Elephas maximus indicus: one gene and its partners. The protein of the gene in region 3 interacts with the protein of the main gene of each other region in a pairwise test. Links are inferred from orthologs where the notes say so. Each region holds a gene or a part of one and is shown on either strand. Other genes may lie near its edges.

Evidence for each region.
Region 1: the proteins of KASH5 (region 3) and UPK1B interact in binary tests that used the Homo sapiens proteins (3 or more experiments, as listed by UniProt). The two-hybrid records come from large-scale screens. The link is inferred for Elephas maximus indicus from reciprocal best matches to the Homo sapiens genes KASH5 and UPK1B.
Region 2: the proteins of KASH5 (region 3) and NSG1 interact in binary tests that used the Homo sapiens proteins (3 or more experiments, as listed by UniProt). The two-hybrid records come from large-scale screens. The link is inferred for Elephas maximus indicus from reciprocal best matches to the Homo sapiens genes KASH5 and NSG1.
Region 4: the proteins of KASH5 (region 3) and GOSR2 interact in binary tests that used the Homo sapiens proteins (3 or more experiments, as listed by UniProt). The two-hybrid records come from large-scale screens. The link is inferred for Elephas maximus indicus from reciprocal best matches to the Homo sapiens genes KASH5 and GOSR2.

The regions. Positions count from the first base shown.
Region 1 is NC_064819.1:9,501,377-9,509,277, forward strand, and holds the start of UPK1B (uroplakin-1b), read left to right. Parts: upstream 1-4,878; 5' UTR 4,879-4,985; intron 4,986-7,901. UniProt on the Homo sapiens protein: Component of the asymmetric unit membrane (AUM); a highly specialized biomembrane elaborated by terminally differentiated urothelial cells.
Region 2 is NC_064823.1:156,810,843-156,818,821, forward strand, and holds the start of NSG1 (neuronal vesicle trafficking-associated protein 1), read left to right. Parts: upstream 1-4,978; 5' UTR 4,979-5,074; intron 5,075-5,460; 5' UTR 5,461-5,485; coding exon 5,486-5,614; intron 5,615-7,979.
Region 3 is NC_064829.1:99,849,112-99,856,681, reverse strand, and holds the start of KASH5 (protein KASH5), read right to left. Parts: upstream 3,018-7,570; coding exon 2,975-3,017; intron 1-2,974. UniProt on the Homo sapiens protein: As a component of the LINC (LInker of Nucleoskeleton and Cytoskeleton) complex, involved in the connection between the nuclear lamina and the cytoskeleton.
Region 4 is NC_064837.1:52,052,238-52,059,953, forward strand, and holds the start of GOSR2 (Golgi SNAP receptor complex member 2), read right to left. Parts: upstream 3,020-7,716; 5' UTR 2,961-3,019; coding exon 2,932-2,960; intron 1-2,931. UniProt on the Homo sapiens protein: Involved in transport of proteins from the cis/medial-Golgi to the trans-Golgi network.

The DNA of each region.
Region 1 (7,901 bases), on a different chromosome or scaffold from region 3:
GCTGGAGATAAATGTAGAACAAAATTCTAACTCACAAAAAAGGACCAGACTTTACTTGTCTGACAGAGACTGGAGAAATCCCGAGAATATGGCCCCCAGACACCCTCCTAACTCAGCACTGAAGTCACTCCTGAGGTTCACCCTTTAGCCAAAGATTAGACAGGCCCATAAAACAAAAGGAGACTAAATGGGCACACCAGCCCAGGGGCAAGGACAAGAAGGCAGGAGCGGACAGGAAAGCTAGTAACAGGGAAGCCAAGGTTGAGAAGGGGAGACTGTTGACATGTGGCGAGGCTGGCAACTGTCTTAGTCATCTAGTGCTACTATAACAGAAGTACTACAAGTGGATGCCTTTAACAAAGAGAAATTTATTTTCTCACACTCTGGTAGGCTAGAAGTCCAAATTTAGGGCTTCAGCTCCAGGGGAATTCTTTCTGTCTCTGTCAGCTCTGGAGGAAGGCCCTTCTCATCAATCTTCCCCTGAACTAGGCGATTTTCTACTCAGGAACCCTGGGTCCAAAGGATGGCTCTGCTCCTGGTGCTTCTTTCTTGGTGGTATCAGGTCCCCAACTCTCTGCTCGCTTCCCTTTTAACTCTTGTAAGATAAAAGGTGGTACAGGCCACACCCCAGGGAAACTCCCTTTACATTGGGTCAGGAATATGACTTGAATGAGGGTGTTACCAGCCCACCCTAATCCTCTTTAACATAAAATTACAATCACAAAATGGAGGACAACCACACAATACTGGGAATCATGGCCTAACCAATTTGATACATATTTTGGGGGGACACAATTCAATCCATGACTGCAACCAATGTCATAAAACAATATGTGTAGTGGGATGCAGACCCCAAAACCTCATAAGTCCGGACATAATGGTCCAACTAAGACTAGAAGGACCCCGGTGGTCACGGCCCCCAGACCTTCTGTTGCCCCAGGACAGGAACCATTCCCAAAGCCAACTCTTCAGACATGGATTGGACTGGACAATGGGTTGGAGAGGGATGCTGGTGAGGAGTGAGCTTCTCGGATCAGGTGGGCGCTTGAGACTATGTTGGCATCTCCTGCCTGGAGGGGAGATGAGAGGGTGGAGGGGGTTAGAAGCTGGCAAAATGGACATGAAAAGAGAGAGTGGAGGGAGAGAGCGGGCTGTCTCATTAGGGTGAGAGTAATTGGGAGTATGTAGCAAGGTGTATATGAGTTTTTGTGTGAGAGACTGACTTGATTTGTAAACTTTCATTTAAAGCACAATAACCCAATAAAAATTATTTTAAAAAAAAACCTCTGGAGCACAGCTCTACTCTGACACACATGGGGTTGCCATAAGTCTGAATCGGCTCGTCAGCAACTTTTTTTTTTTAATGTATTTTATGCCTGCAACAAGATGCATATACTTTTTTTTTTTCTGTTCCCAAGACAGTGTGTTGTTATTCAGAAGCGAGTGTTTTCAGATCCCTCTCTGGACAATAAAGTACTGAATTTGGAGTCAAATATATATATGTGTGTGTATTAATTGTTTGATGAGAAGCTAATTTTCTCTGTAAACCTTCATCTAAAGTACAAGAAAAAAAATCTTCTGCTTCCAATATCTAATAAAATAAACAAAAGCTTTAAAAAAATTAAAAATATATTTACCAGATAGCAAAATAAAAGAGGGCATTACCTATTTCAAAACTGGTGGCCAAGGAAAGAAAAAGAAGGGAGAAAAAAAAAAGAGAGAAACAGCTGTATTGCTAAAAAGACAAAAGCCTGGGATTCTTACTATTACCCTCAAATTCAGGAAGAAATTTATCTTTTTGAACTTCTAACCAGAGAGTAATGGAAATGAGTGAACAGGGAGACTAACCGCTGATGGAAACACAGTTTCAGAACTACTCAGAACTGAGGGCTGGATCCAAGCCCTGGAGCCATCTAGAGTAATTGGTCAGGCCAAGGTGGAAAAAATGGAATAGCGAGAGAAATAGGAGAAACTTGAACAGGATACGATGTTATGAAAGACAGGAGAGAGTATTACAAGAAGAATGGACTAATCCTGAGTAAAATGAAGACAAGTGTCCACTGGATTTGGAAAAATAGAGGTTGTTTGGTAACTTGACAAACTGAATAGAGTGGAGAGAATGGAGGCAAAATTGAGTCCAATAAATAAAAACCAGTTACTTAGGAAAAGTGTAATTCTTCCAAATACTGAGACCAGAGGTAACGTTTTTCCCCTGGGAACTCTTAGACCCAGCATGTAGGGTTGTGAAAAATATCCTCAACAATATCCTACACTAAACATAACACGTTTCACAGGGTTGCCCCTTAATATAGACATCAGAGATATTATAGAGGCTTTTCTTCATTGAATGAAAAATTTGGACCAAAAAAACCCTCTAAAATCTCTCCCAATGGTAAGAATATTAATACTGGGATGTCCCTTTCCTTGGAAAGGTCTAGACTTGCTCTAAGAAGTCATCTTGTGGTGGCCATAATTTAAAAGTATGAGCTGAGTTAAATATTTATCATCTGGTGTGGACCAGGAGCTGAAGGGGATGGGATAATGTCACTTAATGTCGAACAAAAGGATTGCTAAATAAAAAAGAGAACCCATTAAAAGTCAAAAAGTCTGAATTTATACATTCTAGGAAAATTTGCAAAGAGAGCCAAGGCCCGCTGGAAGAAAGGCAATTTTCAGAGGCACTAGAGAATTTTATGGACCTGGCATTTCAGGAATACATTTTGCAAGTTTGACTCAGTATAGAAGTTTGACTTAGTATGGAAGCAGAGCTCTGATTAGTGACTGGTCTAGTCTGCAAAGAGCATGGGTGCCCTGGCAGACTTACTTTTGAGGCAGTTTTGCAGAAAATGGCTTCTTATCCCAGGAACAATATTCTACTCTACTTATTTCATTAAGCAGTTAATAGAAAAAAAAATAAAATCAGCAATTTAGAAATTTAATACCATTTAAGAGGTTACGTTGATTGCCTAACTACACTCAAATAGTGTTGTCAAATAGTTAAGAGCGCAGGCTGTGAGGACAGGCTGACTGGAGTCCTTAACGCTAAAAGGCTCTATAACCGTGGACAACTTAACCTCTTCAACTTTCAGCTTTCTCATCTGTAAAATGGAGGACAGGGCTGTTGTGAAGAGTGAATTTGACAGTGACTTAGTGAGGTCCCTGGGTGGTACAAATCGCTTGCACTTGACTACTAACTTAAAGGTTGGCCACTTGAACCCACCCTGTGGCACCGTGGAAGAAAGGCCTAATGACTTGCTTCTATAAAGACTACAACCAAGAAACCCCCATGAAGCAGTTTTACTCCCTAACACATCGGGTCATCATGAGTCAGAATCACCCAGACAACAATGTATTGAGGACTTAGTAAGTACTGAAAATGTAGACATCATGCCTTGAGGAGCCAAAGGGTATTCCCGCCATTTTTCCTGAAATTGGTAACTAAAGCAAAAGGTGTTAAGTATCCCACATAAGAGGACTTCCAGATACGAGACCAGTGACTGTCCTGCCCAGTTTGCACTACAATTCCCTCCCTCCCTCCATTAAAAAAAAAAGTCAGTTTGAAGGGGTCTTTTTAGGGAGTGCAGTGCTTGTGAAGAGAAACATTCCACTGGTTCCCTGGCACTGAAGATGAGAGGGTGAAGCCCCACAGGAATGGAAAGCTTGAGGGTATGTACAAGACCAACATCTCTGAGCCCAGGTAGATACTCCCTTGGTCATCAGGCTTGTTAACTTGCCTTGAAACTACCATCAGCAGGTAATTACCTGAACCCTCTCTCTAAGCTTGAATTCCTCCCAATCTGTTTGTCTCCAGATCTCTTGACCCTCCCCCTTACTAATCTTTGGACCATCTACAGTGTGAGCATTACTTGGGTAATTACTATTCCTGTGAATACAGCCTATTCAAAATATAGAAACTGAAACTGGACAGAACCCTGTACAGCTAAGCTTATACCAGCACCACTACGAGCAGCCAGAACAATAGATAGGCATTTTAATACAATTTTATGTGTCAACTTGGCTACGCTATGATGTCCAGTTGTTTGGTCAAATACTAGCCTAGTTGCTGTAGTTACTTGTGATCAGATCAATTGGCCTTAAGTAAAGCAGTTTACCTTCCATAACGTGGGTGGGTCTCAACCAATCAGTTGACGACCTTACGAGCAAAAAAGGAGCTTCCCTTGAGAATGTTCTGTCTCCAAACTATAAATGACATTTTACCAGAACTCCCACTCTCTTCCCTTTGTCTGACCTACAGATCTGGGAACATAAGCCTGCAGGAGTCTCCAGCCTGTCGCCTGACCTCTGCATTTACTTAATCACCGGAGTCAGTTTTCTTGAAGTAAAGCAATCAATCTCTCTGTTTATATGTATACTTTTTTTTTTTTTTTTCCATTGCTGTTGGCTCAATTCCAATTCATGACAATCCCGGGGTTTTCACTGACCGGTTTTTCAGAAATATATCACCATGGTTTTCTCTCAAGGCACCTCTGGGTGGACTTGAACCATCAACCTTTTGGTTAGCAGCTGAGTGCATTTACATTTTGCACCTCCCAGGGACTCCACATCTGCATCACTAATTCAGGGACTCCACATCTGCGTCACTAATTCTGTTTCTCCAGGGACCTCTGACTAAGACAATACACAAAAGCAGAAATAAGGGTCAAAAAAAAAAATTTTTTTTTTCAAAGCACACGAATAAAAGCAAACTAAATACAAATAAAAACAAACAAGTGCTTTTACCTGAGTCACCACATTCCAAAGAAGCAGAAAGCCAGTGACTGAAAGGTTCCTGTTACTTTCGCCCTCCAATGAGGCAGGCACAGGCAGCACCAGGTTCAGCCCATGCGAGATGCCTCCCTCCCAATCACAGACCACCCTTCCCTGGTCTTAGAGCTCCAAAGAATCGCTGCAGGGTAGAAAAGCACCTCAGGCTCCTGCCGACTTCGGAGTGGGCCAGCGCGGCCAGAGGAGGCGGCCCGGGCTCCGTGAGTAGCCTGCGCTCTGCGGTGAAGCCCACTGCACGCTGAGTGGTTGGGGTGCTTTCCTGGGGGGAAGCCAGCGGCCTGACAGGGAAGGGGGAAGAACAGGCATTCCTGAGGAATGGAGCATGTCATTTTTTGTGATTTAGGATGTTGTGACTGCTTCATTCTCTTTTACTTTGAACTCTATAAATTGCTTTCTTAAAACCTTTGATATCATTGTCCTGTTCTCAGAACTCTGGTTAAATTTCTTTTGGGAATCCTGATTTCAACTTCAAACTTCTCACAGAAAGACCAAGAAAAATCCTAGGACCCTGGGAAGCTGATTAAATCTCAGTCACTTTTATAGTCCTCCCGTCCCCCCCACCAACAATTTCCTTTTGGAGTCAGAAAAGCAAAAGGAATTTTAAGGAAACCAAGTCATGTTCATTCTTAATAATCTGTCATTCGGGTAGAGAGAAAACTTCCCCGTCTTGTCAGAAATCGTTTGATCCTGCTAACTCATTACGTGATTTGTGAGACAATTTACTCACATTTCTTCTCCGCAAACAGTTATGCTTAATAAATGTGTCCATGAAATAAGTCAACAAATTAACTTTAACTATGCAGTGTTGTTTTTACATAATTTATTTTCACTTGTCACCAATTAGTGGATCCACCAGGATCCGGAGGTACTAAATATACAATTTTGTTCAAACAACATTTTTGCTTAAGATGCAAATTAAGTTTCAAGTAATGCTAGTACTATTTTTTCTTATATCAAGCTAAAACCTCACTTGTAATAACTAGTTTTAAAGATTTTTGTAATCTTGAATTTTTAATAATTTTTGAGTTTTTTAAAGACTTGACCTTTTCTTTAATGAGTTGAGTTGCTAAGTACAACAGGAAAGAACTCTCTTAGAATATATATATACGTACATATATTTATAACTTAGAATATATAAATATATATATTTCAGTTTTATATATATGTGAAGAAGGAGTTTTTATTTTGATTTCTCAATGAGGAGAAGAATTTCTTATTTTGCTTTCTGCTACAATAGGCTTAAAAATCAACTCACTTTCATAGACTTTTAGATCCAAAAGTAACCCTAAAACCAAAAAAACCTGTTGCCTTCGAGTCGATTCTGCCTCATACCGACTCTATAGGACAGAGTAGAACTGCCCCGCAGAGTTTCCAAGGAGCGCCTGGTGGATTTGAACTGCCAACCTTTTGGTTAAGCCATAGCACTCAACCACTATGCCTCTAGAGTTTCCGTAACCTTAGATACCATCTAATCAATAAAAACAAATGAAATCTCAGAACTTCTTTTCTGACCTCGCCTACTAAACCTTCTTAACCAAGGCAAACACCAAGCAACCCTAGAATGTGCTGTGCTCTGCTGCTGGAGTCGGAGTCTGATGACCAGGCAGGCTGCCCACAACCCTAAGAGGCCACCATTCCTTACCTGGGCCAGAGACCACACTCATGAGGTGGTTCCCTAAACTCAGTTTCCCCAATGATGCTCCATAGCATTCTTGCCCTGGCACTGGGCCATCCCGTCCTCTCCTGAGGTCCTTACTTGGCTGAGAGTGCCTGAGCCATTGCTTACATCTCAGCCGTGGACTTCAGGTGAGTGAAAGACTCAGATCCTCACAGGGAACATCGGGATCTAGGGAAGCACCGTCCAGTAGAACTTTCTGTGATGACGGAAATCTGTACAGCAGCCATAGCTACATGCGACTGTCAAGCACTTGAAATGTGGCCAGTGCAACTACAGAATTCGATTTTTCATTTTATTTCATTTAAATTTATTTGCATTTAAGTAGCCACATGCATTTGGTAGCTACCATATTGGTCAGCACAGGTCTAGAGCTTTAAAGTAAGAAAAACCGATGGGTGCTACAAGCTGTGGCTGTTATAACCGTGAGTATCATGGCCATGAGAACAAGTTCCTCTTTTCGTCATTACCAGGGACTCATCCTAACCAAAACTGAAGAACACCAGCAATCGTCCTGATCTAAAGTTTTCATACCCATCTCTACTTTCATCCCTAAATCACACAACTGTCTGCTCTTATCCTGGGTTGCAGGGCTGGGGCTAAGGCAACACCGTATTGTGTTTCTTGATTTCTTCCTCTTCTGCTCCTCCTTTTTTTTTTTTTTTTTCTTTGTCAATCTAAATTTCTCTAGCTTGAGCTAGAGTTTGAGGTGTGGTCTGTGTGTTCTTCTGGTGCAAAAAAAAAAAAAAACTTGGGCGAGGGAAAGAGGTAATGAACTTAAAAAATGATCTCATGCTTGGTGGGCGAGCCACACTCCTTTTTCTTCTGCTTTGAAAATTGGTTTGCTTAGAGAGCAATTGTTTTTAGTCCTAGTCAATGTGTCTGGAAACATCAACACTACAAATACGAATAACTTTTAGAAGAAAGTTATTCATATATTCTTTCCCAAGGGAAGGAAAAAAATAAACAAGAACTAAAGCTCTTGTCTTTTAAAAAATCTACACTCCTTGATGCAAAGGAACTCCCAGGGTGTTGAGCAATTTGAGTAAATCATCACTGTGCCTGGCCAGTACGTGGTTTTTCCATGGGGTGGGGCTCGCAGGGGCCTATTCCTTTCTGTGGAAAACATTTTGAGGTGAACTGCACACTTTGAGTCAATATTGTTTCTGAAGTGCAGAACCAGTACTCTGCCTTCTGCCTTCTACTGGTCCTACTTCTTTTAATCCACCTCATCCCATTTGTTTCCTTCTAGCTTGTCTAGGTAAAGAAATCTAGTACATAAGAGGGAAGCGCTGCTTTAGAATAACGCAGGAATGTTTCAAAAGACCACATAGAGTAAAACCTGTGAAAGCCGGAAGCTGTGTAAGGCAGAAACCTGTCAGAGAAGGAACTCAATATTTTCCACTAATAGAGATCGATAGAAAGTGGTAAGCTGTACATT
Region 2 (7,979 bases), on a different chromosome or scaffold from region 3:
ATTCTACCCCTGCCCCACCACTGCCCCCACTACACGTTAGCTAATATTACTGTGGTCACTTCAGCTAGTTATTATAGTTACCTTATCTGTAAAACAGGTCTAGCATATTTGCTCCTTCGACTTCCGAATTTTTGTAAAGTTGTACGTAGAGTCGCTGTGAGGCGCAACTGACCCGATGGCACCCAACAACAACAAAAGAAAAAGGAAAAAAAAATAATGGAAGGGAAAGTATTTCATCAGCTACAGCATCCTCGGATTCTCTACCCTGGAGGAGGGTCACGAGAGGCTAGAGGGCAGGTCCAGGCAGGGAGCAAAAAATGTCCTTGTCTTATCTGTGGCAGTCAAGATCCCAAGAGGATGCAGGTGGCATCCTAAAATGGGATCATTTGAGGAGGCAAAGGTGTGGGCAGGGAGTGGGGGCCCAGTAGGGGTGGTCCGGTAGCCTGAGCTTGCAGTGGGGGAGCTGGTACCACCCCTGGACTGGAAGGGGGAAGGGGACAGGTGACAGCTGTCTGGGAGGAGAGTGACCTTCCGTTGAGTGACATAGCCAAGCTGTGGGAGGCAGGGGAGGAAGCCACCACTGTCCAGAGGACCTGGAAGCCCACTGAAGTGGGCCGTGGTCTACACAGGCCAGTGTCGGTCTAGAGAAGGGGAGATGGTGGGAGAGGCTCTGGAGACCAAGGGCAGCAGCCCACCCAGTACCACTGTGGCCTCCAGGGGGCTGACAGTGCTGCAGAGGTCAGGTAATTACTGTCCTGGGTCTGCTGGAACAAAGGACCACAAACTGGGTGCAACAAACAAGCATGTATTGTCTCACAGTTCTGGAGGCTCCAAGTGTGGACTCAAGGCGTGGGCCACACCATGCTCTCTCTGTCCGCTCTGGGGAAGATTCTCCCTTGCCCTTCCTAGCTTCTGGTGGTTCCCGTACTCCTCATCTCATGGTTACCTCACACCCATCTCTGCCGCCCTCTTCTCACGGCCATCTTCCCTCTGCGTTTCTTCTCTTTAATAAGGCCACCAGTCATATAGGATTAAGGGGCCGTGGAAGTTCACGGTAGACTCCTTGCCTTCTGTGCAGAAGACCTGGGCTCCATTCCTGGCTGGCGCACCTCAAGCGCAGCCACCACGCATCTGTCATTGGATGCTCGTGTTGCTGTGATGCTGAACAGGCTTCAGGGGAGCTTCCAATTAAGACAAGGGCTGGCGATCTAATTCTGAAAATGAGCTGATGAAAACCCTACGAGTCGCCCTGTCCAATCTGCAACCGATCATGGGGTCATGGGGATGCTGCAGGACCGGAAAGCATTTTGTTCTGTTGTGTGTGGGGCTGCCACGAGTCGGGGGCCGACCGCTTACCACAGCGGCGAACAACAGCAACGTAGAGAATTAGGATCCAGCCTGCTCCAATACAACCTCATATTAACTGATAGCATCTTCAAAGACCCTATTTCCAAACAAGGTCATGTTCACAGGTACTGGGGATTAGAACGTCAACAGATCTTTTTGGGGGACACAACTCAATCCATAATAGGTGTGGTGGAGGGCAGTCTGGCTTGTCTGCAAAGCTCCGCTGCTTACCTGGGAGTAAAACGAAAAAGCCAGAAGCCCAGGACCACAGTCTAGTTCTCTATTGGGTGCCCAGCAATTGTGCACCCTACTCCTGGCCGGCCTCAGTTTCCCCAGCTATAAAATGGAGGTGTGGAACTACAGTATTACCCAACCTCTGAAAATCCCTTGATCCCAGATTAATTTTTACCTGCACTTACCTGCAGCCCAGACTTCATGGAGCTTTATCTTCTGAATTTGACCTCCCTGGCCACCCCCCTCAAAAAAAAAAGACATTGGGTGCCTTCTTTGGGACTACATATGTACTTCCCCTTGTCCCCTGTTGGGGGGCTGAGGGGCTTCTTCTCCTTCTTCCTCTCCACCCCCTGCTGATGGAAACTTCTGGGTCACAGGCTATCCTTTCAAGTTCCTTCCAGCTATGTTGTTGTGTATCATCAAGTTGACCCTGACACATAGCGACCCCACAGGGCAGAGGAGAACTGCCCCACAGGGTTTCCAAGGCTGTAATCTTTATGGAAGCAGAGTACCACATCTTTCTCCCGAGGAGGGGCTGGTGGGCTCTTACTGCTGACCTCTTGGTGAGCAGATGAGCACTTAGCCATCGCGCCACCAGGATTCCTTCCTTCCACCTATATAGGGCCACAATTTCTTGTCTGAAATATTTTCCTTCTCTAATGTTCTTAATTTTAGGGTTGGGCAGGTTCAAACATCTGAAAACAGCCAGGGTTGCAAGAAGAATGGGCAGGCGACGAAAACTGTGAGCTCCAGCACCAGGAGATTATTATCTCGCCTTAGAAGCAACATCTGCTGGCTGTCTACCCATCCATTCCCGGAAACAGCAGCACTCTGACCTGCAACCCCAAAATGGGGCTGAAATGGGGAGCATTGTTTAAATCATTCCTTCTTATACCCCAAATCTTGGAGCTGGGAACAACAGCAACAAAAAAAAGACAACGTTTGTGGTCACTCCTGTCCATTTACAGACGAGGAAACTGGGGTCCAGGGAGGGTCACCCACCAGAGCCTTGTGTCCACCTCTTTTCTTGCTCACTACCCCCATCTCTCTATACAAGGTCAAGAGCCTCGTGGTGAGAACAAAATGGATCTTAGAAACACGTTGAGAAAATTAGGAACTGCTGAGTGGTTCATTAAGAGAATAAAGGTAAAACAAAGAAAAACACTCCACTTGCTGGAAGTTCTGTTTATACACAAAATGTGTAACCAAAAGACTCCTGAAGCCTGAGCTCTGGCTTGCTGCCTGGGTGCTCCCCACACGCCGTGTCCTTTCCTGCCTCCTCATGCTCACAGGTACTGAAGTCTGAGGTGCTCTACTCTCTCCATGTTTTGTTTTCTTTGAACATATATTTAGCACCATGAAAAAAAAAAAAAGTTAACAGTTAATGCTCTCAGCTGCTAATCCAAAGGTTGGAGGTTCAAGTCCACCCAAAGGCATCTTGGAAGAAAGGCCTGGTGAGCTACTTGCTGAAAAATCCTCCACTGAAAACCCTGTGGAGTGTAGTTCTACTCTGACACAGGTGGGATCGCCATGACTCTGCAGGGACTCCATAGTAACTGTTGTTGTTTTTTTTTTCTGATAAAGAGAGAAGGAGGGGGTGGCACAGACTCCAGGGTGGCCCCACCCGTTGCTACTCATGTGGGATTCTGGCCTTAGCATATCGGTGTGGCCTGTGGTGAGTTCTGTAAAAAACTTGGGCCTGAGAGGGGACACAGTCACTCCTACCCTGAGGCCCACAGGGTCTCTCCTGACAGGTGGAGTCAGATCCCAGGTAAGTCCCCAGCGCGCGTGCCTGGGGAGTCAGGACCTGCAGGCGCAGGCAGGCTTCTAACTTTCCTTCCTCACCTGCTGCAGGAAGGGGCTGAAGTGTCTGGGAGGTGGCTCCCGTGGTGCTGCACACCGAACCTCTTGGGGAGAGGCTGTACCTGGGGATCGGCCCTGTGGGTACCTCGGCCACCAGGATGCTGGCGGGCTGGCCCGGGGGGGCCTGCGGTAGAAGCTAGGGCATTCCATCCCTGCTGTCCCGCGGCTGGCCAAGGGATAGCCTCCCATTAAGACCTGAGCTCTAGCCCGCTGATCCTCGGTCCAAAGCCCCTTCAGCCCACCAGGGCGAATTACGAGAAACCTGTAAAAGGCTGTGGAGCCCTCGTGGGGATTTTGAAAACGAGGGCGTGCCGCAGTTTCCTAGACTGGGCCTAGGGCATAGTGAGCGCTCCCAGCAGCGGTGCTCCTGCCCTCTCGGCTTATTCAGGGATTCTTTCGGGGTTCCGGCTGATAGGATACGCCGGGCCTCGGCGGTGCAAAGGGGACCCCGGCCCAGCGCGAAGGTAAGGACTTTGGGGGACGTCTACTCCGTGCCCTCGCAGGCCCGGCGCCGTTTCCCCAGTTGCTCAAGCAGGCAACTGCCTCGCGGCCGGGATCCCACTCACGTTTGGTCGCGTTCCCTCGGCCCCCTCGCGGTTTTCCATGTGGAAGGCTTTCGGCCGGGCTTGTTCGAGGTCTGCAAAACGCGGCCCTGATCTGGGCAGCAGCGACAGCACCCCCTAATTCATTCCAGGCCTCGGACCGCCCCTCCCTCCCGGGATGCCCAATGCTGGGGCTGCAGTAGGGGGACCCCTCCCTTCTCTTCCTACCAGGCCAGGAAACCCGTCCCGGTATCAGACTCCACCGAGGAGCTCCCTTTGCCCTGGATGCCGTCCCTCCGCTACCCTGGGGCGCCCCCCACCGGTCACCCGCAGCCCAGCGCTCGGAGGGCGCCCCTCACACCCCCGCAACACTGACAATCCCCCTCAGCTCCCACACTTGTCCTTCATCCCCAGGCGCGCCCTTTTTTATCGCACGCAGAAAACGCTCAGGTCTCTGCCAGCGCCCACCGCCTCCTGGAATCTCCCCAAGCCCTCCACCCATGTTCGGCACGCCCAGGTCCGCGCACCTTCTTTTCACCCTCCCCCACACCTTTGAGGGTTGGTTCAATCCTAGGACCCCTCTCCCTCCCCTGCTTCTAATCACTTTCTTCCACGGCCGCCGTCCTAGGATGGCGCAACCCGCACCCCGCGCTCCCAGCCCGGCGCACTGGCGCTCCAGCCCTGCGGTGCCCCTCCCGCCGCTCGGAGCCTCCACCCCGCGTGCATCCCCAGGGCGCTCCCCTCCCTCCACCCCGCTCCGGGCAGGCGCGGGGTCTCCAGGGTGCGCTACCCTCCCCTTCCCCCCCCCTCCCCCGCTTGGGGCGGCGGGGGTCCCCCGGGGAGCCGCCCGCCCCAGCCGCTGTCCTTTGTGCGCTCGGCAAGCACGCTGCGTCAAGGCGAGCCGCTGCGCCCCGCGTCCCCCCGCCCGCGCCCCATTAACCCCGGGAGGGCGGGGGGGCGCGGGGAGGGGCGCGCGGGGCCCAATCGCTCCGCGCGCCCGCCGCCCGGCACCGCCTCCGCCATTGCTGCGCGCAGAGCGGGCGACGCGGAGCTCCGAGCTTTCGAGCCAGACCTGCCAGAAGGCGAGGGTGAGCGCCGGGCCGGAGCGCGGGGAAGGGGCCGTCCATCTCCCCAGCGGGGTTGGGGCGCGGGGGAAGTGGGGGTCGCCGGGGTGCACGGCTCCAGGGCTACGGACACGTCTACATGGGCTGGGCAAGGGCGGCGCCCCCTCCTCTAGCCGCGGGCACCCCTGCGCGGCCGCTTTTGTCCAGCGAGGTGGGATCTGTACATACGGAGCACGCCACCTCCTATCGGGCGGTGACCGCCGTGTCCACACGACCCTCGGGAGCGAGGCGGGGCTGGCAAGCGCGCGGACGCCCCGGGGACGCGGGGTCGGGGGCGGGGAATCCCCCCTCGGGCGGCGGGTGGGTGCGGGTCTTGCCCGCGATGATGCCCCCGGCCCTGTGCTCTGTAGGCGGCAGCCTCGGTCCCCCGGCAAGATGGTGAAGTTGGGGAACAGTTTCGCGGAGAAGGGCACCAAGCAGGTGCTGCTGGAGGACGGCTTCGACACCATCCCCCTGATGACGCCCCTGGACGTCAATCAGCTGCAGTTCCCGCCCCCGGATAAGGTAAGGGGCTCCCCAACGCCTCCGCCCCGCCGCAGCCCCGCGCGGCCGGGTGCGCACCCCTAAATCTCGGGCGGCGGCGGCGGCAACAAAAGAAGCACGCCGCGTGCGCTGGGGCTGGAGCTGGGCTGCGCGGGGCGGGCGGCGCGGGAGGCAGCGTCCTCCGGGATTGGGTGATGGGGGGCCTCCTCCCCTAGGTGACAGCTTCCTCCTGACAATGGAGCTGGGAGAGAGCCCTTCGTGATGTTCCTGGGAGTCTTGTCTGAACGAAGTCCTTGCCCCTCAGCCGCAACTTCTGCCCCCTTCCTTCCTGCCCCGGCCCGGCCCATCCTATCAGGGGTTCTGTGTCAGTGGAGGCCCTGAGGGGGTGCAGCTTCTGGCCCGCTTGCCCATTCCAAGGTGGACGGCCGTCTCCTTGGCCGGGTGGCCCCTCCTTGGGGCCTTCATTGCCCGTCCATTCCCTTCCTGAGACACCCGGCCCCCCCGCACTCCATGCTGGCGCTGTGTGCCCTTCGGTAGAGCCCCTTCCTCGCTTTGTTCCTCCTGTCCTCGCCGGAGTATCTGTGGAACTGTGGACACGTTTCAGCATCATCTTCCCCGAGGCATGTTTTGGCTGAATTTAAAGAATCCCCTTTTCTTGAATACAGCATGCAGTCAGGTAGTTTCTGTCCATTAAGAAGGGTATTCTCAAGACGGAAAGGTAAATGAGGCGTGTAAAAGTCTAGATGATTGCGTCAAGATCTGAAATCAAACACAGCATCCATTCTGGCCACCTTGCTGCTCCTTAAAAACTACCCCGGCCACAAATGGTCACCTTGTTGGGTGAAGTGCGTCTGTATCGATCATCTCGTTAGGTCCTTGGCGGAGACGCTGGGACTTGGCTTCACGGAGGGGGCAGGGACCGGGTGGAAGATTGCCCCTGGTGGGCCATTCTTAGGGGTTTGGAGCTTCTGCTGTTCGCAGTGTGGACCCTTTGAAAGGCTCACTCAGCTTCCCAACTTTCACGCCCCCAACTCTGTTGTCTGAGTTTTGGGTATGGGACACCGGAGCAATGGCAGCCAGGTGTTTCAGCTTGGGGAAGGGGGATGGGCTGGTCACACCTGTGCCCCCACCCCCAGCCATGGTAAGACCACCCTGGGCATCGAGGGTGCAGGCTGGCCCAGGCTGGGCATTATGGGAGGGTCCCCTCCCTTCCTAGGGGTCAGACTTGCCTAGTGAGCCAAGCTTGGCCCCACTGCCCCCTCCCCTCCAACCCCGCCCCCGGCTGTCTGCCCTTCAGCCGAGGAGTGGTGGCCACCTCTGCCAGCAATGCTGTGTCCCTAGGCAGCACCTTATCAGGTGATTCCCTCCTCAGCCTGAGCCGCCTCCTTCTCCCTCTGCTTGTTTCATTCCCAAACAGTCTGGTGCACAGCTGGCTTATACCAGGGAGTAGGGTGTCAGGCAGGTCTGACTCCCTGACTAACAATCGGGCTGTCCAGGAGTACTGTAAACAGCTCTGAGAAGTAACGAGTGTCCTGTCCCTGGAGGCATTCAAACAAAGGGTGGCTACCTGGCAGGGATGCTTTGTTGTGTGAGCTGCTGAGTTGATTTCAACTCACGGCAACCCCATGTGACAGAGTAGAGCTGCCCCATAGGGTTTCCTAGGCTGTAATCTTTTCGGGAACAGATTGCCAGGTCTTTTCTCCTGTGGAGTGGCTGGTGGGTTTGAACCGCTGACCTTTCAGTTAGCAACCATTGGGCCAGGGATGCTTCAGAGGAGGGAATTCCAGCAGGGGTCGATGGTTGGGCTAGAAGAGTTCTGAGTTGACTGATGAGGAAACAGTCCCAGAGTTTCCAGGACACGCCCAAGGTCACTTAGCTGCTGGTTACGATTCTCCCGAATGCAGAAGCTTCTGCTAGTGCCCGTTGATCCTCCGTACCTTGAGGCAGACATCTCTCACACGAGACTTCTCCTGACCAGAACAACAGCAGAGTGTTGCTCGCAGCCAGGGTTCCAGGAGGCAACGCACAGGTCTCCCGAGGGCTGGTGATGCAGCTACGGTGGGAATCCGGAAGCCTTCTGAGAACGTGCATCGAGGCGCTGGCGGCCCCTGGAGACCGTTGTCATGGAGTCAGCAGAAGTGTTAGCGGCAGGCTTACCTGGCGTTTGTCGAGGGCTTATTATACACCAGGCAGTATTCCACGTGCTTTACAGGTTTAAATACCTTTAATGCTCTGCCGTGGTGGTTCAGTGGTAGAGCCTTGCCTCCCATGCAGGAGACCAGGGTTCAATTCCCGGCCAATGCAACTCACGCGCAGCCGCCGCCTGTCTGTCAGTGGAGGCTTGCATGTTGCTAGGATGCTGACCAAGTTTCAGCGGAGCTTCCAG
Region 3 (7,570 bases):
CGCTGGGCTGCTAACTGAAAGGCTGGTGGTTTGAACCCACCAGCAGCTCTGTGGGAGAAAAGACCTGGTGATCTGTTCCCATAAAGATTACAGCTTTGGAAATCCTATGAGGGCAGTCCTACTCTGTCACATGTAGTCTCTGTGAGTTGAAAATCAACTCAATGGCAGCCAACAAGGTGAAGGTAAGATGGGTTCGGTCTGTGTATGTGAAGCTCTTATGTCATGGGGTCTGTTCTGGCCACTGCTGTATCCACAGTGCCTGCAGATAGTAGGTGCTCAATAGATGCACGCCTGTCCTGGCCTCAGAAACCTGTGGGGCTGGGCCCATCCGGGCCATCTGGGCTCTGCCTCAGACAAGGGGTGGCATCTGAGGCAAGGGACTTGACCTCCTTGAGCCCGTTTCCTCCTCTGGAGAATGGGAATGGTGTTACCTCCCTCCTAGGGAAGGAATGATGTAAAATCCAGAAAGCTCCTGCCGGCACTTAGCAGGTGTCAGTCCTGTTCTGGGCGTTTCACATGGATTAACTCATCCCACCATGTGGGTAGTCAGTACTATTAGCCCTACTTTACAGATGAGGACACCGAGGCACAGAGAAGTTACAGACTTGCCCAAGGCCACCTGTTGAACATATGAGCCTCTTTCTCATCCCTCTAACTCTTCAGAGGTTCTTCAGTGAGCTAAACTGGGCATCCCTCTGGCTTGAACCCATGCTTCTAGGTTTGGCCTAGAAGAGGGGCAGGAACCCACAGATAGGGGAGATGCCAGGGCCTGTGCCAGGGGCTTTCCCTTAAGTCTTATCTTCTCCCTGTACCCGATCCCACGGGCTCTGAGGATCAGAACTCATCTATACCCTCCCTTGATGTCTCTCTCTGTGTCTCTGTCCCTGCCTCTTCTAGATGGCTTTCTCTCATTCATTCGCCCAGTCTGTCTCGCCTGTGTCTTGCCTCTCCAGGTCTCTTGCCCTCATTTGCTTCCCTGTCTCCCCTTCTTCTCTCTTCTCTTCCCATCTCTCAGTGACTCTCCTCTGCCCAAGCCTTCTCTTTCCTTCCTCCAGCCGTCTCTCTGACTTTTTCCCCTCCTGCCCTTCTCTGTCTCCATCTCCCCCTTTGGGTGTGTTCCTCTCTCTCCTCAGAGCCTCCTGAAGCTGTTTCAGTTCTTGCCTGCGGGTTCCTCAGTGTCTGCACGCCCTCTGCTGGTGCAGGAGAAGTTTAGCCTGGCCAGGCAGCCCTCTGGTTTCCGCAGCCTGGTCTCTGCCTTGGAATTCCTATCTGGAAAGCCTCCTGAGGCCAGAGTCAGGCCTGGGGCGTGGGGCCTTGGGAAAAGAAGCTGGCTCTGCTGCTGACAGCTGGGAGCCTCTAAGAAAGGGACCCTGCCTCCCCCATTAGACTGGACTCTCCCAAAGATGGGAGCCCTGCCTCCTCCTTTAGACTGGGCTCTCCCAGATGGTAGGAGCCCTGCCTCTCCCATCAGACTGGGCTCTCCTAGAGGGTGGGAGCCCTACCTCCTTCTTTAGACTGGGCTCTTCTAAAGGTGGGGGACCTCCCTCCCCCTTTAGACTGGGTTTTCCCAGAGGGTGGGAGCCCTGTCTCCCCTTTCAGACTGAACAAAGGGTGGGAGAGCTGCCCTCACATCAGATTGAGAGCCATCAGAGGGTGCTTATAACACAGTCTAGATGGTTCTACCACTTCTAGGCGTGTGGCCTTTGGCCAAAGACTTTCAAGGCCTCAATTTTCCCGTTTGGGAAAAGCGAGAACAGGAATGTTTTGCTTTGAGGAGCAGTTTGGTTTTGAAATCACTACCATTTGTGGAGCGCTCACCCTGTCCCAGCTTTAAGGCTGCACCACATCGTCACAACACCCCCTGAGGAGTCTCAGTAGGGGTAACCCAGTGCCTTCCTCCCAAAGCAGCTTTTATACCCACTTGGTCTGCATTCTCCCAGTCATTCAAATAATAATTATTGCATTCCTACTATGTGCCAGCCATTGTTCTAGAGCTATGTTGCCCGATACGGCAGCTACTTGCCACTGCGGAGAGTGCAAACTGAGATGCTGTTAGTGTAAAATACACACCAGCTCTTGAAGACTTGGTATGAATAAAAGAATGTGAAATAATCTCATTTGCTGTACTGATTATAGGCTGAAAGGGTACTATTTTGGGTATAGTGGATTAAATAAAATGCATGATTGCCATTTATTTTGCCAGTTCCTTTTTACTTTTTTAAAAAACGCGACTACTAAAAAATTGAAAATTACAGATGTGGTGCATATTAGCTTCTACTGGATGGCACTGCTCTAGGGACTGGGAATCGCAGAGTGAATGAAAGAGACCAAAGCGCTGCTCACATTCCCGTGGCGGAGACTGAGACTAAACTGACAAATAGATGTCAGTGCTGTGAAGAAAAGCAAAGCAGAAAAAGGGAGAGAGTGTCACAGGGCAGCTGTCTTCTGTGAAGTAAGGTAACATTTGGTTTGAGATCTGAATAATGTGAGGGATGAACCTGCAGGTAACTGGGGAAGGCAGTTCCAGGCCGGGGAATAGTGCGTGCAAAGGCTTTTGCTCTCACCGTCTGGCCTCCCCAGAGAAACAGGACAAGGTGTACAGAAGGGTGGGCACACCGAACCGAAGTGAACCAAACCAGCTGGATAGAGTAGAATTGCCCCAAAGGGTTTTCTAGACTGTAATCTTTACAGAAGCGGACTGCCACATCTTTTCTCCCAAGAAGCCGCTGGATGAGTTTGAATCTCGGAGCTTTGGGGTAGTAGTCAAGTGCTGAATTACTTCACCACCAGGGCTGCTTAGGTGGGCACACAGTAGGTACTTAATCAATGTTTGCTTGCTCCTTCCCTCCCGCCCCTGCCCCAAGGTGGAGATTCAGCCACACAAGCCAACTTTCCCAAGTCGTCACTGGGGCCCGCCCTGTTAACCCACTGCTCGCTGCTCAGCACTGACCCCCCACGCCAGCCAGCCACTTACTTGCTGCAGCAGGGCCACCAGCCCAGCCCTCAGGTAGGTCCATGGGCCACTCCGCCCGCTCTGAAGCTGCGGGCAAAGCTAACAGCCTCCCTCCGTCAACAGGGGGGGCAGGGAGGGGACTGGCTGCCTCGAGAGCTCCTGGAAGGACAATCAGAGAATGGCTTCCTCCGACTGGGCACCCGCAGATGGGGGCCTGTGCCACCCTGCCTATGCCCCAGGCTGCTCTCGGGTCTCAGAACCTGTTTGCCCACCCCCGCCTGGACCAAAGCAGTGCCCGCTCTGACCTGTTTTATGGACTGGAGGTGTGGGCTGGGAAAATGGGGGCCTGGGGCGCAGGCAGCAGAGATCAAAGCGGGGGGCTAGTGAGTAGGGGGCACTGCCTCCTGGTCAGGGAGAACAGGGTGGCCTCCTTGCCTCCAGTTGTCCCCACAACCCTGGCTCAGGCCTCGTCCTCTCCCCCTGGACCTAGCCTCCACCTAGCCTCCTCTCTGGTCTCCCAGCCTCCAGTCTCTCCTCTCTAGTCCCTTCTACACATGACCCCAGAGTTGACCTGCCCTTCCTTGTTCAATACCCTCCCATGGCTCCCCAGCACCCCCAGGACAGAGCCCAGCTCCTGAGCCTGGCCTGGCCTCATCCACCTCCCCACCCCAAATCCCACTTAATGCTCTAGCAACTCAGAACTGCATGCTGTTCATCCTTCCCCAAGCCACTATCACAGGAACTGACTCGTCAGCCCTTCCTGCTTTGGCCTGGATGTCCACTCTGGGAAGATAATTCTGATTTCCACTCCTGGGCTGAACCAGGCACTGTCTCTGGATCCCCACACTGCCCTGAGCTCCCGCCATTATTTACTGCCAGATCAGTCTGTATTGGAACTGTTGGCTTCTCACAAGTTTGACCCCATCCCTGCTCCCAAACCTCTCATGGCTTCCTAGTGTCACCAGGACTGAATCCCAGCCCCTCGGGCTGTTGTTCAAGGTCTTGCACACAGGAGTCCCTGAAACATCCTCTCTCTTTTTGCTATTTTTCTCTCCAACAGCCCATTCCCGGGTCCCTCACCCTCATCATGGCAATGGAAGTCCAGCATCTTCCCTCCATACCTGGTCCTGGTCCTCTTCTGGATTCCCAGCTAGAGGCCAGTCGTTCCAGGCCTTGGCCATATTCTGGGTGCCATTCCCACCCCCAGCCCGGCCCCACTCACAGTTCCCCTGGGACACGTTCCCTGAGTCCCTGGGGCAGCCTGGGACTCCTCAGTGCTCCGACAATGTCCTGTGCTGCCTCCATTATAACCAGGTCTACCACTTGACTGATCCTCCACAATACCAAACGGTGCCCACTGGGCTGAACTGAGCATGCCAGGGTGAATGGTCAATGTGATTGTGACCCTAGGGCCATATGGGGGCTCTCTGTCTCACTGGGCAGTGGGGAACCCCTCAACCCACCTCCTCAGACCTCTGTCCTTACCAAATACTCCCAACACTCTGCTCTCCCCAGCGCCAATCGGGATCCACAGCTGAAAGTCGCACGCTTCTCCGCGGCTTATAGAAGGTCCTAGAAAAGAGGGTCTTTGAAGAGAGACCCTTCCAGGGTTTGGACAACCCTTGAGGGTGCAAAAGGTGGCAATGGTTGTGGGGCTTGAGTGAGGAAGGGTCCCTGTTGTGGCACTGACAGGAGCCAGAAGCTCTATGACAGAATTTGGGGACTAACTTCTGAAGAGGTCTTGAGGGGTCTCTGGTCAGATAAGGGTCCAACAAGACTTCCGATGGGAAGCTGCAGTGGGAGGGGGTCTCGGCAGGAATTCTGGGAGGTCTCTGACTGGATTTTGGGAAGTCTCTGACAGGATTTCTGTGGTTCTCTGACAGGACTTTGGGGAATCTCTGACAAGATTTCTGGGGTGATCTCTGGATTTTGGGAAGTTTCTGATAGGATTTCTGGGGAAGTCTTTGATAAGATTTCTGGAGAGGTGTCTGGATTTTGGGCAGTCTTTGACAGGATTTCTGGAGGGGGTCTTCGACTAGATTCTGGGAGTCTGACAGGACTTTTGGTGAGTTCGACAGGCTTTCTGGGGATCTGACAGGATTTTGGGGTCTCTGCTAGGATTAGGGGTGTAACAGGATTTCAGGGAGTCTCTGACAGGCTTTGAGAGAGGCTGACAGAACTTCTAGAAGATTCTGACAGGATTTCAGGGGCCACCTATAAGATTTCTGGATGGGTTTCTTCGAAGGTTTCTGAGGGGATTCCGCCATGAGTTCAAGAGGACTCTTAACAGGATTTGGAAGGCCCTGATATTGAGTCAACGGCAACGGGTTTTTTTTTTCCCCCGGCATATTGAAGAGTCTCTCTCTTTGAGGGGTTTTGCCAAGATTTCGGGAAGGGCTCTCCCCTGGGGCTATTCTGGGGAACCTCGCCACACGCAGAGTGCACCTGAAGCCACGTCTCGGGACCGGCCGAGGGCCACTGACGACGAAAGGCGGTTGCGCGCCAGGGGAAGGGAGGGAGAGGAAGGGGTGCGCGTGCGCTTTTCCCGCCAGAAAAAAAGCAAAGAGGTCGGGGAGGGGCGGGGCCGAGCGCGCGCGCGCAGCGTCTAAGTCCCGCCCAGCCGCCCCCGCCTCCTCCCGCAGCTCAGGCGCACTCCTCTGGAAAGGCGAGAGCGCTTCGCGTCTGTTACCTGTAATGGCGAGGTCGCGCATGCGTAGGGCTGCCGGGGCGCGCGTCCAGCCGGTTGGAGCGGGCGCGTGCCCATTGACCGAGCTGGTGAACGATGGGTGGCTTGTGGGTGGTGGGAGGGGGGAGGGTACGCGGCGCCGGGGTCTTCTCCGGTGCCTTAAACTTCTGTGAAATGGGTCTGAGCAAGGGAGAATTGGACTGAGGGGCCTCTCCGCCATCCGCCACTTCTTATCAGTTGTCGAGCCGTGCCCAGCCGGCCCTCTGTTTCGTACCAGGCTCCCCATCACCGTCACAATGATGTTCCACCCCCCGGCTCACCTGAACCTGCGTCTGCTCCCGCACCGTTTCCTGGCACCAGTCACGCTGTCCTAATAGGTCCCCGAAGGAGTCTTTCCCAAGAGAGAGGGGGAAAAATTATTTTCAGCTTTTCTGGCTAGAGAGAGGAAGAGAACTACATCCAAATGTGACTCCCAAGAAGGCACGGAAAAAGAATCCTCTTGTCCACCTCTTGTTCATCCAACCAGTCATTTCACCTGTCACTTACTCAGAGAGGCAAACAAAAATCATATTAAGCCTTTAATAGAAATCGATTGAAGTGTATTTAACATAGGTTTTACAAATTGAGGCAACATTTTTGACTAGAAAGTAAAAAATGTTCCAAAGAAGAAAAGAGTCCAAAGATTCTTATACCACATCTTGTCACTAGTAATTATATGTTGCCATGGAAATAGGGCCTAAACAGCATTTACATAACTCGTGGACATAACCCCAGTTTGACCTTTGGAGTTTATTTTGTTGAAACTGTACATAGATAATTCCTTAAAAGAGCACAATGCCCAAAGCAAAATGTTCTTTACTATTAATACGTTTAAAAGAACTACTAACGAGTCAGAATTTACTTGATGGGAATGGGTATTGTTTGATTTAAGGCAGTTTTCTCAAGGCTCAAGGCTCAAAGATCATCTTAGGGTGATAGCTTGGGTGGGTCACTTCAACCTTGATGGAATCCAGAAATCTGGATTTATACTATAAATATAATGTAAATATCTATATTTATATTAAAAAAATACAACTATTCAGATGATCTAGTTCACTTTTGGCAAGCTGTGGTTTTCAAGGAATTTGTCCATTTAATCTAAAATTTCAAATAATTAGCATAAAATCTTTCATAATATCAGCCCAGAAATCTGGATTCCACAAGAATTAAAAACTTCATTCCTCATTACCTACACTAGACCCCTGCCTCTCTATAAAAAAAAAATATATATATATATACATATTTGATATTTCAGTGATCTTCATGGCATGTTTCACCATGTGACATATTCTATATTTGTGTGCCTCTGTCTGTCACCCCCACTGAAATATGAGCTCTGTGGAGACCTGAACTTTGTTTTCGGACAAGAATGTGCCTGGCCCAATGTGGGCACTCGAAAAAAATTTATTGAGTGTATGAATGAGTGAAATGAAAGCACTAATCCAGTACAGCTATATGGGGAGAATTATTTAACTGCAGCTCTTTTAAAAGGAAAAATTGGAAAATTCACCAGACTCTAACAATGTGGGAATGTGGTTCATTCAGGCCCCAGAACATGTTACCATTAAAAAGGATGAGCAAAAGGTTAGATTAAATCTATGCTGTTTAACTACTGGACAGATGACTAAAGCTGTGTCCTGCCCTCAGACATCTCTGGGTTTGAATTCTGGCTCCATCCCTTCCTAGTCCTGATCTTGGGAAAATGACTTTCTCTCTGAGCCTTGGTTTCACCACAGAAATGCAGATAATAATTACCTCTTAGATACCTTGAGGTTTTAAGGCGATAATTCAAGGCTTATAGGAGATCTTTGTTAATTGGTAGTTATTATTTTGGCTGTTAGATAGTGGCTTATTATAAAGCCTGGGAAGGAACCTGTTTGGCAGGTGATATG
Region 4 (7,716 bases), on a different chromosome or scaffold from region 3:
CTCATCAGAGAGCACAATCTAAAAAGGAAAAACTGGTCTTGAGATAAGGAAATAGTTCTCAAACTCAACTGTTCATCAAAGTCACCTGGAAAGCTTGTTAAAACAGGGGTTCCTGTGTCCCAGGACTATTGAATTAGAATTCCTAGGGATAATGTCCAGGATGCCAGACCAATCCTGGACTACAGCAGAAGACAAATGTGGGCACCTTCACTACCACCGAGATCTCAGAAGTAGAAGCCTGGCAATTAGTTTTCTATAAAAGTCAACCTAATGCAGTATTATTTACACATAAAATGTTTATTGTTTTTCATCTTTTTGTCTTCCCATTACTATTCAGGTAGTTCACGAGTTTCCAAGATCTAGAACTTTAAAATGCTGATCTAATTCCAATGTACTTTCAGGCACATGGCAAGAGATAACCATAAATTGGGTTCAAAGTTCCAGCAAAATCAATATAATCAGTTACTGTTGTGTCAATTCAGCTACAATCAATTTCTGGAATTGCAAAACTTAGTTGCTGGTGCTCACAGCACTTTGTATGTCCTTTTAAAGATACTCAGTGGCTAGTATTAAGAACGGAAAGGGGCCCTATAGTTCAATGAACCCTTAGCTATCATTTTACACATGAGGAAAACAAGGCAAAGATTTCTAGAACCAGATCTACTCCTGGTCCAGTACTTGAAGGGAAAGGCTGATTAGGTATACTGCAGCATGAAAGAAGGTAAACTTCTTGAGGGCAGGGCTGTACTGCCAGCACTGAGAATGGTGCCTGACATAGTAAAACCAGTAGCCATCAAGTTGATTCCATGGCAACCTCATGTGTGTCAGAATAGCTCCATCTAGTTTTCAATGGCGGATTTTCTGGAAGTAGATTGCTAGACCTTTCTTCCAAGTTGCCTCTGGGTGGACTCAAACTCCAAACTTTCAGGTAGCAGCTGAGTACATTAACTGCTTGTACCACCCAGGGACTCCTGACACACAGTAGGAACACAATAACTACTCATTGAATGAGGGACTGAATAGTGGCGGGCCTCACAGTAGTGGGTGAAACCGGTTTTTGTAAGTAAAGTTTTATTGGAACACAGACACATCCATTCATTTACTATACTGTCTATGGCTGGTTTTGTACTAAACTGCAGAGTTGAATAACTGCCACAGAGGCTGTATGGTCCACAAAGCTTAAAATATTTACTATCTGGCCCTTTAAAGAAAACTTTGACGAACCTTGATGTAGAGTCAGAATGAGGGTGGGTTGCTGGGGGCCTGCAGAGGTAAGTGGTTCATTTACACTCTACAGTCTTGGGACCAGTTTGCACAGAACTGAGCTACCCACATTTCCCTGTGAACAGCTACCACCTGCAGCTAAGATTCTCTAAACAAAACTATTCTTGAAAAGAAAACGGATCACAGCCTCCTTAGAAATCCTTTAACCAAAGTAACTAACTAGATGAGACTCTACATCACAGATTAACTGCAAGGCACTACTGAGCCCACCATGCCTTGCTAGTGTAAAAGATTTGCCCTTAGTGACATGAGCATAAATTTGGTTCATTTTTTCTCCATTTGACTCACAGGTCTAGCTTTTCAAGTCCCTTCTTATAATTTTTATACGAGAATTGGGTCCCTAGTGGAAGAGCAAATTTCGTTATTTTTATACTATTACAAAATAGGCTCTGTATTTTCAAACTAAACACTTCATCACCAAAGTAAAAACAAAGAAACACATAAACTGAGAAAAAGAAAGATAAGAGGAACGTCGTCCTTTTATCCCTAAAGCTCCAACGTATTTGGTTCTCAGGCTGTGAATTCATTAGAGCGGTTGGGTGTCTATTTTACTTCATTTCCAGGCCCTGGGACTGTGATTTTAAGTGTTTTCAGCAGAACAAAACTGTAGCATAAATTTGAAAGTTGTTAAAACACGGCTCCTATTACCATGCCCAACTACATATTTCAACGAGTTCCAAAAATGCAGGACAATATGAATAAAGGCCACTACCAAGGAAGTTATGAGAAGCTAAACCAAAACTCGATTTCCTTAAAGTCGACCCATAACCACATGTTAACAGCAAATAATACTGAATGCTACTCGTACAGCAATTTCTTTGTGCCATAAAAAGATGGTCTTTAGGGTAAAACGAATCAGCATAAAAGGAAAAAATCACGGTGTGGCAGCAATAAGTTTGGGGCTGATCCTGAGTGGGGACTGAATCATTTGGAACCGTGAGCTATAATGAAACTTTCTCTGACCTCAGCCCAGTGATGGATTCTTCTAAATTGCTTAAGGAAATCCCTCTTGTACTGCTCATTTACCCTCCACCCCATCCTGTCACACTTTAGTAATTTTTTCGAACGTGTCTTGACTCTCCAATTAAACAGTAAAATCCTATGGGCAAGGGCCGTGTCTCCTACTTCTCGTGTCTCCCAAGCTCTACCAACCAGAGCACCTAGGTGGTAGGTGCTGAACACAGTATTGAGCCCTGGTGGTGCACTGGTTAAGAGCTCGGCTGCTAGCCAAAAGGTCGGCAGTTTGAATCCACCAGGCGCTCCTTGGAAACCCTATGGGGCAGTTCCGCTGTGTCGCTATACTGTCGCTCTAAGTCGGAATCGATTCGACGGCAACGGGTTTGGTTTTTGCTTTTGGACACAGTATTATAACCAGTAAGTGCGATTTTCCCTCCACTCAGTCTACCCAACAGGTAATCACGGACTCGCAGGCTCGGGTGGCGACCCCAGGAGCCACCCAGCCCCACGACTCTAGGCCGCAGGCTGGACCCTCTGTCCGCCGCTAACCTGGGCATCGAGCCAAAGATTGAGCCGCCCCCGGCGAAGGGACTCGGCATCCACACTAGCGGATGCCCCAGGTCTCAGCCCTGAGGGCCGGCGTCGCTCAGCCTGGCCTCGGCCCCGCCCGTGCCCCACCGCGGCCCTCACTTGTGCGTTTGTTGGTACAGCGGCTCCATGGCGCCAGCCGCGCCGGCTCCAGCTCAGGCTTCCCCAGAACACGTCTTCACAGCCCCCTTCCGGCTTCCGGCTACCGGCTTCCGGCTTCCGGTCGCAGGGCCCGCCCACCCCTGCGGGCCGGGACTGCCCGCATGCGCGCCTGATTGGCCATGGGAACGAGACCAGAGAAGAGGGACGAAAAAAAGGCTAGGAGAGGAAGAATAAGTGTGGTCGGAGGCCTGGTCTCACATGGGACACAGGAGGTGTAGGTTTGGGGGAAAGGTTGGCTTCAGGATTGAGTCAGACATTGGCAAGGACAGCCGCGGGATACTGACGTGAGGTCCTCAGAGTCAGTTTGAAGGCAAGCAGGCGAAATCTCCGCTTCCCTGCAAGTTAAGAGAGGAAAAGTCCGTGGTGGGCTTTTGCGGTTGTTAATTGCGGGTCTGGAGATTTTGCTTTTCACTGAAATCCCTGGCACAGACTTTTCCGGTCTCAGGTTAGCCCGTTCACTTGCCTGTCTACCCTCTCCATGTATCCACCCAGTAAGCCCACATCGAATGAGTAGTGTCTTGTGTGCTGTGGGGGAAACCAGTTCTTCCGGCCCTCAGAGGTTGCCGTCTATATGCTAAAACTATTCCACGATGTAGAAAGCCGAAAGAAGTCCACAGAGATTGAGCCAAACTGGGGTCGGGTTGAGTGGGTGTCTCAGGCTTCATGAAGGAGGTAGCATTTCAACTAGAACTTGAAGGATTTGGACATTTTTGCTCCTCCACATAGACCTAGCCCGTTTCCACCCTCCCAGGCTTATCTGCAGTCCTTCCCAAGGGAGGAGATGTTCCTCTTCCTTTGACAAGTAGATGCTTCCATTTTCCTGTATCCTGGATCCCACCCAGTTTTGTGTCCCAAGAGACTGTCCACCCGTGTACATTTCTTTCCCTAACATTAATTTTTCCATTTATTCTAATATTTATTGAGCACGTACTATGTACTAGGCACAGACACTAGGGGTAAGGTAGCAGTGCTGTTATTCACAATGCCACGGCTCTTCAGAACCTGTTTGCACTGAACTATGTACATCTTGCCTCTCCAGTTCTTAATGTCATTTAATGCTAGTTATATCATTAGTCACGATGCTGCTTCATCCTTCATGCTGCCCATAGACACTGGCTCCCGGTGACTCAAAGATTGTTACTGTGTTTCATTGATGATGACACTAATGGCAAGTCTTACCTAGAGGATCCAGGAAAATGTAAATAATATTTCAGAATTTTATAGTGTAAATGTACAATGTATCTTCCAACCATGTCTTCTCCTGAATTCTTTAAGCCTTGATACAGTGTTCCTGGAAAGTGATCTCTTTCAGTATTGACTACAACCTTACCTTCCACATACAACCAGATGACACAGGATAGGGAGTGGATAGGTAAGGGGCCTGTGGATGGTGCAAGAAGAAAAGTCCCGTTCGTGCAAGGAACATCTGACCCTCACCTGGAACAGTTGTAAAGCCATTTGGCATTATAATGCTCTAGAATAGAGAAGATAGGCATGCTACTCCTAATATGTGGTGTGAAGCCCATGGAGGAGGTCTAGTGGCCACCCTGTTGTGAGGCAGGGGGCATACAGATTAAAGAATGCCACCACTCCCACTATTCTGGCATGCTGTAGACTGGAGGCAGCACTGCAGTTAGAACACAGGCTGATGAAAGCCATGGCGTAGACCCACACAAGAAGCTCAACCCTGAAGGTCAGTGGTGGGCTATCAGTAGCCCAGAGTTCTGAACTCATCCTGTATCCATTGTGAATGAGAGTGACCCAAAATCAGCAGGCAGTACCATTTTGATGGCCATAAAGGAAATGCTGTGTTGGTCAGCAGAAGGCTTCCTAGGTTGCCCTGAACAACCCCCTAGACATGAGTCTTAAAGCTCTCCAGGGCATCTGGTCAACTCTGCACATGGGGTAGAGGATCAGAGAGTACTCGGAAGTGGAGAAACAGACTGGCCACTGAAGGAGGACTTAGAAGATCTCAAGGATAACACTCTATAGTGTGGGACCTCCCTGAGGCCCTTGCCTAGGTCTGAGGGCAATACTGTATGGTAGATTAAAGATGTACTCATATACTTTGCTATGGCTCCCACTGAGAGGTGAAGTCTAGTTCTATTTCCTTTGAATCAGAGCTGACCTTAGTGACTTGCTTGACTAATAGAATGTGGCAGAAGTGAAATTTTGGGACTTTTCGGCTTCCACCCAACCTCCTGGAACACTCACTCTGGGAGCCCTGAGTTTGACTACCCTGAGACCATCCTACTGGAGAGGACACATGTAGGCGCTCTGGTCAACTGTCCCAGTTGAGCCCAGTCTTCCAGCCATTCTCACCAAGGCAGCAGATGTGAATGAAGCCATTTTGTAGTCCCCATACTAGTCTGTCTACCAACTGAATTTAACCAACTGACCTCTGTAAACACCACATGGAACAGAAGAATCACTCAACTGAACCCATGTCTGAATTCCTGTCCCAGTAAGTCAAGAGGTATAACAAAATGACTGATGTTTTAAGCCAATGAATTTTGGGGTCATTTGTTATGCAGTAATAGATACCCAGCCTCAAGGAATTTGCTGTCTATTTGAGGAGACAGAGCACAGGGCTTATGAAAAGGTAACAGTGCAAGACAATGTGCAGATATGTAATAAGTCATAAAAACAATTAAGGTCTCTCAGAATGTAGGGAAGGAGGAGATCCCATTGAATTAGAATGATAAAGGAAGACTTTCCAGAAGATACGAGATTTCAGCTGGGCCTTGAGCTACAAGAAGGATCTCAAGCAGAGAGGTAAAGTTGAGATGGTGTAGGGAGACCCAGAAGGCAGTCTGCGTGATTCCTTTTGGCTAGAGCAGAGGGTTTCTGCAGTAGAGGAAGATGGTAAGTCAGAATCATTCTGTGGACAGGAAAAGTGGTTTTCCTCCCTCCTGTAGGCAGTGAGGACCGTCTGGAGGGCTTTGAGCCTTGGGTAAAGGGATGAAGTAGTGAAACACGACTGAAACAGGAAAATCAGTATGATGACTTCATGATTTCTCCTCTTAATTTCAAGAGGTGCCCCACAGTTCTAGAATTTCAGGATTCAAGAAACCAGCCCATAGTCTGTTCCCTTTGCAGTGTGATAAACTTGGAATATCACTCTGAAGGCTTTTCTCTCTAACCTAAAGTCTTTTTGGTCTGACCAGCTTGATGAAATGTAACCCTTATCTCTGAAACCACATTAATTCATTGTGTCACTCTGGTTATCCCAATCAGATCGAATAGAATAATTCTCTTAGCCCTTCTAGCAAAGTCAGTGCCTCTTACACTCCCCATTCCCTGGTTGCTGTCCCCCCTCCTGGCCCATGTACCTTCTGATTGTTTCCTCCTGAACCCCCTTGCCTCTATTGTCTATCCCACCTGTACCAGTGCTCACACATGCCTTGTACAACTGGTACCAGCTGTGAACATGTCTCACCTCCCCTACTAAACCACAACAGCCTATCAAGAGGCCCTCATCATTTCTCAACGACAAACCTGCTATCAGGTCTGCTTGCTTCCTCTCCCTCCCCTTTCTAATCATCTTTAATATTGCCTGGAAGATCTTTCTAAAGCACAAACTTGACGTCATTTGATACCTCCCTTGTACTTACAGAACACAGTAACAAATCTTTATCTGGCTTCATCCCTGGCCATTTTCCCTGCGTGTCTTCTGGCCTTTGCATACACTGTTCCCTCTGCCTCAAACAGGCCGGATCAACTCCCACTCATTCTTCAAGTCTCCGTGCTGGTTCCACCTCCCTGAGGGAGCATCTGCAACACTCAGGCTGGGCTGGATCTCCTCCACTACGCTCCCTGGGTGCCTGCCTGTCAGCACTAGTCCCAGGTATCCCAATTCTGTGACCCCCGTCTGCTTCCCCCACCAGATGGTGAGCCAACGGATGTGTCCTTCATCCCTACATTTCCCCAGCATCCAGCTCAGTGCCTGGTACAATATCGGTGCTTGTAATATATCTGTCACCTTGAAATGGACTCCATTTAATCAGCTCACTATCTTAAATATTCTACCTGCTTGGCATTTTGGAAGTACAGAATTATTTGAAAGTTGGAAATTATAAACTGCCAGTGGCAGGGAGGCCATTCTTGCTGACAGTCATCATCTGAAATCAGTACAGAGCGTTAAATAAAAGACTTTCACAACCGTTTTCTCGTTCTATGCTTGCAACCACCAGGTGGGAGGCAGGACAGGCATCACTATCCCGGTTTTCTAGGCAAGGACATTGACTTCAGAGAAATTAATGTGCTTGACCAAGCTGACTGAGCTCATTAGTGGTGGAGGGGGACTAGGACCAGCCTGCAGCCTCACACCTTCATGTAGCTGCTATATCATCCTGCCTTTTCTACCCAAAGAGGGCCTTGCCACCATGCAGGGGTGGCCATTACACAGATAAATAGGACAGCCCTGAATTGCTTCTGCATTGGGCAGCAACAACAACCCTAGTCACACACCCCCAAAGCCTAAGAAGCATAATCGCACTGCGTCTCGGCTTGTTCCCTTTCGGTGTAAAGCTGAGCAGACAGAAAGGTTGGCATTTCTGAATTCAGAGGCTGCAGTGAGCTGAGAAAAACAAGCACCTATGGTCCTTCTAGGACCCACCAGGTGGAGCGATGTTGCCCCGGGTGCTAATGGAGATGGGAAGGGGTCTCCAAGGAAGCTGCCCACCACGGAGAGTCCATCAGCCAATTGTCTCATGTAGCCATAAC